Drosophila melanogaster: one gene and its partner. The gene in region 1 interacts genetically with each later gene. Each region holds a gene or a part of one and is shown on either strand. Other genes may lie near its edges.

The links. A genetic interaction does not mean that the proteins touch.
Region 2: of step (region 1) and S, changing one enhances a phenotype caused by changing the other (phenotypic enhancement), as found in Drosophila melanogaster (one study listed by BioGRID).

Annotation. Positions count from the first base shown.
Region 1 is NT_033779.5:21,754,446-21,759,279, reverse strand, and holds the start of step (steppke), read left to right. Parts: upstream 1-1,813; 5' UTR 1,814-2,037; coding exon of another isoform or gene 2,038-2,116; intron 2,117-2,652; coding exon of another isoform or gene 2,653-2,726; intron 2,727-4,834. Other genes in the region: CG1416 (uncharacterized protein), read right to left, coding at 1-49, 202-838, 921-1,068.
Region 2 is NT_033779.5:1,074,759-1,079,396, reverse strand, and holds the start of S (star), read left to right. Parts: upstream 1-1,581; 5' UTR 1,582-2,562; intron 2,563-4,638. Other genes in the region: ast (asteroid), read right to left, coding at 1-276, 332-772, 829-1,362.

The sequences.
Region 1 (4,834 bases):
GACGAGCTCTTCGAATTTTCCGAGCACATTGCCTCCGTAAAGAATAAATCTACAATAAAAGACAAAAGATTACTTACCATAAAGAAGTGAAGACAAGGGCGAGGGGCGAAATTTATGGTTATTCATAACAAGATTACTAAATGACGACACAAACGGTCCTGATGTGATGGTAAAATAAAACGACCAGGGACAAAAACTTACTCTCCACCGCGCACGGCATCTACTTTGGCAGGTGCCCTCGTAAAGGCAGTGACCATTTCTGGCTTTGTGAGAGCGTTGTAAAGGTCATTGGCGCTGCAGTGAAATTCTTCGGTCATCGAGAGAGTGCGAACGTCCAGTTTACAGCCGATGCCAGAGTTCTTCAGCCTAGGAGCCGCCACCGAGGAGTTTAAAGCGATATTTTGGGCTGCATTACGGGTATTGTTGGCATCCTTAAAATTCGCCACAGTATTTCCCGCTCCGGCCTCGTCGCCCTTCTTTGGTAGGATAAGGTTCTTGGAGTACTCCTCCTTCAACTCTCGGATGTAGGAAGCCAGTTGCTGCCGCACGCGGTCTCGTCCCACGTTGTACATGAACTGTTTCAGGGTCTCCGACTCGTCGTTGGACTCGTCGATTGTCACCGTGATCTCTACGTCGGCTAGTTCGTTCTCCTCGGAGAGATTGGGAATGGTTAACTTGCCCTTGTGGATCAGCTTGCTGTTCTTTAGGAGCTTTCCAGACCACTTGAGCACCAGCTCCCACTCGTAGAAAAATATGAGCTTGCCCTTGCGATTGTTCACGGTGGCCTCCCCGGAGCATTTGTCCACGGAGTCCACGGCACACTCAATGTCGCTTTGCCCTGCGTTTTGAGAAGTTTACTTTTAGGTTAGGATATACCTAAAATGTATGTTCTACACTACTACAAATTCTTATATACTCGCCTATTTTGAAATCCTGAAAAAGCTGATGCAGGCGGTCCTTGGACCATGGCGTGGCGTTCTTTTCCGTCCAGTGCCAGTTGTTCACGTTGGTGGCGTCGGGCCGCTCCTCCACAATCCAGCGCGGATCTCCTTCTCCCCACTTGGCCATCGCTTTCTTACTGTAGAATTGTATGAAACTGTCTTCAATTTTATGAAAAGATGGAAGATGTTGGTTTACTTTTGATCCGGCAGTCTTAGCTTAAACTAATTCGGACAATTACTATGGCCAGCGAGTGGAATTTTCTAGAATTCTGCGGTTCAAAATAGGGATGTAAAAATTATCGATGCCAGTGCACACATATGTTGGCAGCGTTGCCACCAAGTCCGAGGTGTTTGTGCCGTTAAAAAAACGAAATGATGTGTAAATTTCCTGACGATATTTTAAATGGAGTTATGACGAAAGACGTATTCGTTCAGTGAATTTTTTAACAGATTTAAAATGGACAGTAAGTATTGGTGGTATTGTATTTTTTTATAACAAGGTTGTTTTAATGTTATATTTTTATGTACGTCCAAAACTTTAAGTTTATGTTTTTAACTTGTAACAAACAATTTTCGAAATGGTAATAGCCGATTCCCGCAAATCACACCATAATGGATGTAACAAAGTTGTTTTACAGCTTTTCAAGCTATTTGTCTTGAAATAGATAAGGTCTGCTCTAATCTCTGAAAAAGTGTACCCCTAAAAATATTTAATGTATTGTTGCAAGTAAATAATTAGCCCTAATTTTTTTAGTTCTACTGATTAAAAAGTTCTTACGTTTGGTTACAAGATGCAGTGGCATCAGGATATTTTAAAAGTGGCCACACAGAGCTCGCGTAACACCCAGCTTAAGTCAGCATGCACTTGTTATTTTTCAGTTGTTTACTCAACCGATAGCTGAATTCAGCACATCCCTAGTGGAGAGCTGAAAGAAAATGGCGATAGAATTTTTTTGGTGTTGATTTGTTTATTATCCGTTCGTCTTTGATTGTTCAATGAAAAGCCTTAAAAATTAGCCAACTGCTGGTGAAAAATGTACAACTAGAGTGTGTGTCGTGTGCGCGAGAGTGTGTGTAGTAGCTCAGTAGCTCCGCGATGATTAGCGCAATGGACAATTTCGACAACAGATCGTACGGTGCCATATCAAAGGGGCGCAGTGAATTCTCAATGCCAGGTAAACAGCAGATACTTTTGCTGGCCCGAAGGATATAGCCTAGCATGAACAGAATACGAATCTTTGTATTGATAAAATTTTATTAAGATCACAAATTGGGATACCCACAACTACAAAATAAGAGAAGCAACAAGCAACATTTGTATGTATAGACTTGTGTGCTAGGTGAAATGTTAGTGCACATATGTATGTATATTATGTACATATGTACATTGCGTTCTCGTTTTTGGCCTTCGTCAGAATTAAGTCCGAAGAGCTTTGGTAACGCTAATAAGCCAATTTGCACAATTAGCAATCCATTGTGGTTTCGACAAGTGAAAATTGTTTATCGGCCTAAGCTAGTGACGTAGCCTACAAGATGCTTTCATCGCATCGCAAACAGCTCGTGTATGCACGTGTGTATGTGTGTTGGGCGCGTGTGCCTGGAATGCTGCTCTGGTGTTTTTTATTTTTACTGTTGGTGTTGCGATACAATTTACAAAATGCCCAGAAACAAGTATATGAATTTATTATTGATTCGCATCTCGTTCTTGCAGAACTTACACCGGAGCAGCAAAAACTGCTGATTGAGCTGCGACGCAAGAAGCAGGAACTTTTACTCGAAATACAGGTAATTGACCATCAATATATACATACATTTTTAATTTTGGAAACAACGATTTAAGAACATATTCGTATACACTTGTAGTATACAGAAAAACAATTTCGTGATGTCTTTTTGTCTGGAGTTTTTGCCAGCTTCTTTTTAGGTGATTTGACAGAGAGGGAGCAAAGACACTAGACTTATTCCAGAGCCTTTGTAGGGAGGGCTTGACGGGCTCTGAATTTTTTTATATGAACGATTAATCTTAAAATATATAAATTTTAATAAACCGATAATAAAAATGATGGTAAAATTATTGTTGGTGCTAAGAATTAATTTAGCAAATAATCGAAAGTAAATATCCCAAAAAAAAATACAATAAAAACATTAAGAAGAGAGATAGTGGGCAAGAGAGTCGATTTTTATGTTGTTGAGTAGCATATGTGCATTTATATGTATTTATAAAATTTTATGAATACCTATAAGCCAGACCAATTTGGTTTTTTTTTCTACTTAGGTTGTTTTTTAACTCCTTAATGCGGGAAGATTTGTGATCTGGCGGCTAGTGGCAAGTTTAGCTATTTATGTTCGTGTTGCGATCGTGACTAGTTTTCACTTTGTTAAGACTTCTTTATGTTCAACAACTTTTTTAAAAGAAATATATATTTTAGTGCTCATATCATATCATACCTGAATACAATGACCATGGTTTTAACCCGCACGATCTACGATTGAAATAAAGCATTTGAAAATGAGTTGTTAAACGCCATATAGGCTTTCTCTGGTGTCTTTCTATAAAAAAAATCCAAAAATACTTGCTAGGATTTTAATATTTTTTGTGGTTAAAATTACCACTCACCAGCCCCATTACAAGTGATAATTTTGGTAGTGTATTTAAAGTCTTGTCAAGACATAATGTTTCAATTACCAAATCTGAATTTGAACTGAATTATTCACTCGAATTCCGAATATACAAATAAAATAAAAAGAAAATGTTTGTTCAGTCGAAACAAACTGTCCCTCCGGAATTCCCTCAGAATATTCAAGTCATCGCTCCTGTGACGATCGGTTCACCAGAATAGTAAAACTGCTGTCTTCCAACAGCGAACTGGAGATTTTTTCGCGTGCTGTAATTGTGGTTCTTCGAGTCGTGATCTAAAGTGAACGAATTTTTATTTATTGGATTTTTAACAATTGCCGTTTTGTCATTGTGCTGATATGTGCAAATGCTTGTATCGTTAGATTGTGAGAAAACGCAAAGGTGAGTGTGCTAAAAAGTCAATTATAAATTTGTGTGTGGTACGATACTACCAATTTAATTATCAATTGTTAAAATAAACGTTTGCTGAAATTAATAAAAATATTAATATTTTGCTAGTACAAGTCCTAGTTAAAGGGCTTTTATTTATTGATAACTTTAATTTAAAAAATGTATCTACCTTAATAATGTTGAACTACTTTTAGTGTAAGGATCATGTGTTGTTATCGGTCAAAATTTTCGTATGCACATCTGCACCGAAATGGAAATCTCATATTTTTTCTGATTCCCCCGAATTTCCGTTGCTTTTTTTTCCTAACTATCGGGCTTTATTATGTCTACCTGGATATGCAATTGACACATCGTCCCCTACCTTTCACTCTTCTGTTCCCCGACTACCTGGAGTTATAATTTTTAGCTCAGCGCAAAATTACCTATTTTTTTATAGAATTTATAGAATGGATATTTAAAACCAGACAGAAGAATAATAAAAGTATTTAAACCCCTTAATCGTAGAGTAAAAGGACATACTAAAGCAAGTATATTGTACTACATATATGTAAAGTATATACAACTGTGCATGTTTCAATGATATGTATATAGACATATATTTTAAAGAATTTATGCCATTAAAACTGGTTTTATCCCATTTAAAATAATTGGTATATTTGTAATCAAAGGCTTTAAACTAATGGATTGCAATGATATGTTTGGTGTTTACACTTTGAATGCGTCGTTTGTGTGCACAGAAATTTCGAAAGAAAAATACGCAAATGTCTTCTTCACTGCGTTGCGGTCTTCTGACTGAAATCAACAAAAATCACAATTCTGTATATTTTTTTTATGTTTATTATTGTATTTACTATTATTTTTGTAT
Region 2 (4,638 bases), about 21 Mb from region 1:
TTCTTCATCACCCGAATCAACGTCTTGATTTTCTTCCTGCTGCTCCTCATCTTGGTTATCAGCTTCCTCCTGATCCTCGCCTTCTTCGACATCTGAAAATTTTTCATCGGAGCTAGACGAATGTTCATCGTCGCTGCATTCCTCTTCACTGACGGGTTCTATATAAGGAAAAGCATTCTCGTAGTGCTCATCGAAGTAATCGTAGGCGTGGCACAACTCGTTGGAGTAACCAGAGATGGCTGCATTCACTTGGGAGACCAGGGAATCACGCTGGTTCTGCAAGAATATTATTTTTAGCATAAATCGGAAAAAGATATCTCAAGCAACGAACCTTTTTCAGTCTCGACAGCACTTTAGCCAGAGCAGATTCCGCCGTTTCCTCCTTCAGCCATGTGAGGATGACCTGTATGCGCTTCTGCTGGAGCTTTAGTTTGCGACTTCGTCCTGCTTTGCCCATTCCCGCAGCAAAAAAGTTCTTGAAGGCACTGCGGGCAATATAGTCATTGCCCAGGAGGGCGGCAAAAAGGGGTAGCTTCTCGGGACTCAGAGTTCCTCGTCCGCAGAGATGGGACACCCGGTAGATGCAGCAGTCGAGGTACTTGTAGGTCTTGGAACTGCCTTTTGTACTGGCTGTCAGCCCTGTGGTTTGAATGCCAGTCACAATCTTGTTGGCCCTGGTGCGCTTCTTCACATTCTTGGCCTCGCAGTGACGTAGATCTCGACTGTCCTTCTGGTTGCTGCTGTTCTTGTCCTTCACCTGCTTGGTGAGAACCTGGGGTACATGGAATCGCTTAGTATATGCTGGAATCCAAATAACTTATGCCTTACCTTAACAGTCAGCGTGATCAGCGGGATGTACTTGACGTTGTGGATGTAGAAATCCGAGTCGTAGGAGAGCACTGGGCAGTTAAGTTTCCTGGCCAGAGCAGCCAACTCGTCGTCCGCCTCAAAGACGCACCTCATCACCGGGACTCCGCAGTCGCGCACAGCGTCCACGAAAACCTCCTTGAGGTGCAGCGGGAACAGCGTGATGGATGCATTGGGGTTTATCTTCTTGATCACGGAAATCTTGTTGCGCAGCCGGGTGCTAACGGTCCTCAGCTTGCGCTCCTCGTACCCGCCGTCCATGAGCACATAGGGCCGAATGTTGCACTCGGCCAGAACCTGGAAGAACTGCACCACGGCGCGGTAGAAGTCGTCGTAGTCGCCGCCGAAGGCGGAGTAGCTCCCGGTGACATCCTTGTACAGATTGCAGCTCAAGTTGTCGCCATCGATGACCAGCGCCGTGGAGTGCAGCTCGTGCGGCTTAAGGTAGATCTCCGCGCGCTGCGCTATGTAACTGGTCAGGCCGCGGACTCCCATTTTCCCGGCGCTTGCCTATTTTCCCAATTTTCTATTTACCTATTTTGCACAAACTTTAAAAGCGTGCTAATAGTGATGTCAGTTTGCAGTGCGATACTATCGATGTACATATCGATTCTTTAGCGTGGCCGTTCGCTGCCGTTTGGTATATATGAGCGATTAGTTTGGTATCTAGGGTATTTCCCGCAGCCGGATGGTATATTCCGGGGATGGCGCCGCGGTCACACTCTGTCCCGACAATTCCAACCCGACGCTTGTCTGCTCTCCACCCGCGCATCAAACGTCGAAAAATCGTAACGTCGCGAGTGCTACGCGGTGGCCAGGAGAAAAATTCGCCAGCAATAGCAACACTTGTACCGAAAATCTAAAGGAAACTGGGAAATGTACTAGCACAAACACAGCGAGTGCAGTGGAAACCGAAATCGCCATTGAATCGAAGAGCGCGTGCATATATACGGGTTCCGTTGGTTCCGTTCCGTTTCTTGTCGCTTTTCTTGCACACACTTTACCACTTTACCTTTGCGTCTCTCGTTTCGTGCGTGCGTGTGTGTGTGCGCGGAGTGTGGTGTGCGTGCGTGTGTGTTGTTTTTGTGTGTTCGTTTAACTAAAGCACAGGTAGAAGGAAAAGCAGCGGAAAAAAGAAAACCATGGGCGAAATATGCATATGAAATTAAGTAAATACAAGGCGACAGCAGCAGAAAACATCCAGTAGCAACGAGAAACAACAACAACAATAACACACGTTAATAACTCAGCTTTGTGCGTCTTTCGTCTGCGCTTCACATAGTATTATTTTTCTCTTGGATTTTCCACACAAAAACACCATGAGTGAGCGAGCGAGAGCGACGATCGTGATCACCGTGTCGTGAATGAATTTTTGTCAGTGTGTGCGAGGCGTGCTCTACGCACACACACACGTACGTAAACAACACAACCACACACGGCCCATCATCGATCACCAATCACCTGTGTGTGTGTGTGCGGCATTTAATAAATAATTGTGTGCAAATAAATGTTCCAAAAGGAAATTGTTAAGCCAAACCAGCAAAAAACGTAAATCAACCGTGCGATAATTCGTCCTAGAGTTGAAAAAAAAAGACGGTTCAAAAGCAAGTGCGTGTGTGCAGAGTTCTTCTGGTGTCTTGGGAGCTTCGTTTTACGGATACGAAACATATATAACTTCCCTCTTTGCCGAAAAAGGTGAGTTCAAAATCAGGGAAAAATCCCTTTCCCATTGGCCAAGGCCGTTCCGGGAAATCTGCGAGTGGTCTTGGCCCACGTTTCCTGTCTTCCGCACATTTTCACACGTCCTGCAATTGCAATTTTTTCCGATTTCCCAACTCTGCACCTCCTGTATGTTCGGCGATTCCCACGCCTCTTTTTTTCGGGGCAGGTATTCGCAGGTAGCGGAAAGAGGAAAAACCCTCGGGAAAGCCGATAAACTAGAGAAAACCTCTGTTGGTGGGCCGAAAAAACCAGAAAAAATAGAAGAATTGAAATGTTTTCCCTGGCTGCTGAAACAGAGAAAATCGGGCGAAATTAGGCACCCGCTGATTCCAGAAAATTGCTCGTATAATAGAAACATCTCACTGGGGGAGAAATAAATTATCGTTATTATCATCTGCAGTTGCAATTTGGCACAATTTCGATATGACTGTGCTCCCATTTGCCCGGCGATTATGTAATTTTCGCCGCTGTGCTCGAGAATCAGGTTCATTTTCCATATGAAAAAGGGGGCTTTGCTGCAGACATTGCATATATGCCGACGATCTGGCGACCACCGACAGTTGCCAGCAATTTCCGGCGCTTTTTGGCAACTGGAAATCGAGCACAAAAGTTCATCCCAGGGCTTAGAGAGCCGCAAAAGGCGTAGCCATCCATATTCACCCCATCCCAAACGCATTTCCCAATGTGGTTTATAGTTTTCCTACAGCTGTTGCGACTGCGATTTTAACGATTTTTACTGGTAATCCGGGGAGGAAGTGAAGTTCATAGCGGTTCGACCAGTTGATACCTCTTAATAAACTGTTTGTAGGGCATTTCTGAAAAGGAAATATTCCAAAGCGAGATTTGGTTAGTCTCAATCCTTAGAACAGCATTGCTCACTTCCTTACACAAGTGCATACTACCCTCGCATACCCTGTAATCAGTGGGCACCATAAAAAGAGTTTGAATTTCAAATAAAATCCACTCTCCGGCACACACACAAGTCCACTGGGGAGCAGCTGCTGTGTGTCTCTTTGTGCTTGGTCTCAAATGACACTTGCCAGCGCTGCTGCTGCATATAATTCCGAGTTCTGGGGAATTTCCTAGTAGGAAGTGCAGGGGCCACAGCGAAAACACCAGCAAGAGTCGCACTTGATGATTGTCTTGCCACGGCTATTGCCGTCCCACTCTGGAAACGTAAATAGAGAGGCCCGATAAAGAGCGGTCTCGAACTTCCCCCAGTTGTGTTGCCTCTAACCCAACTGAAACTGAGTGGAATCGAGGTTTTCTGGCGGCATAAAATTTGATAGCAATTAAGATATTTGTTAGAACTGTTTCTAATGTCACATGTGCTGCGTGTAGGAGTCTCATCCTGCACTATCTTGTTTTTCGCACTTGCCCCGTTCCCATTTCCCGGCTGGTACTCCAGTTACTTGCCGCAATTGACCAATTAAACAATTGTCTTTGATTAAATGTGCAAATTTGTCTAATGTTCTGCACTGCGCGTATGTGCAAAGCGGATGTGCCCGCTTAAAGCTGCGCTTAAATTGCCCGCGTAATTTGTCACTGATCTCACTTTCTCAATTGGCGATCTCTGATTTCTGAGATTCCTGATCTCTGCCTGGCCAATTAGGCGTCATTATGCGGCAGGCAAGAAGGCACCGTTAGATGGAGCCATTGCAACAGTGGCCAGAATAATAACAGCGACTAGGAAATAATGGCTAATGGCCTATACCTTTGCCCATCTAATGCTTCTTGACCTACAAGCCTCCACAGGCCTCTCGCGTTTCCTGCCCGCTTTCATTTACTGTTAATTATTGTTTAGAAAAGCGCGGGGGCGGGGGCCAATAATAATAAGAAGAAGAAAAAGCAGCAGCATTGGCCAATAAAAGCTTGCAAACAATTTCGAATTTCCAAATGGTTTGAAATGCAGCCCAGCTGGCAACAGAGGAAAAGAGGCAGCCAAATCAACCGAAAGGCAACACGGGGCCATAACAACAATCTTGCTCGCACATTCATAATAGGCGAAACAGAGGCGGCCAAAAAAGTAGGACTGTTTCGTACAAAAAT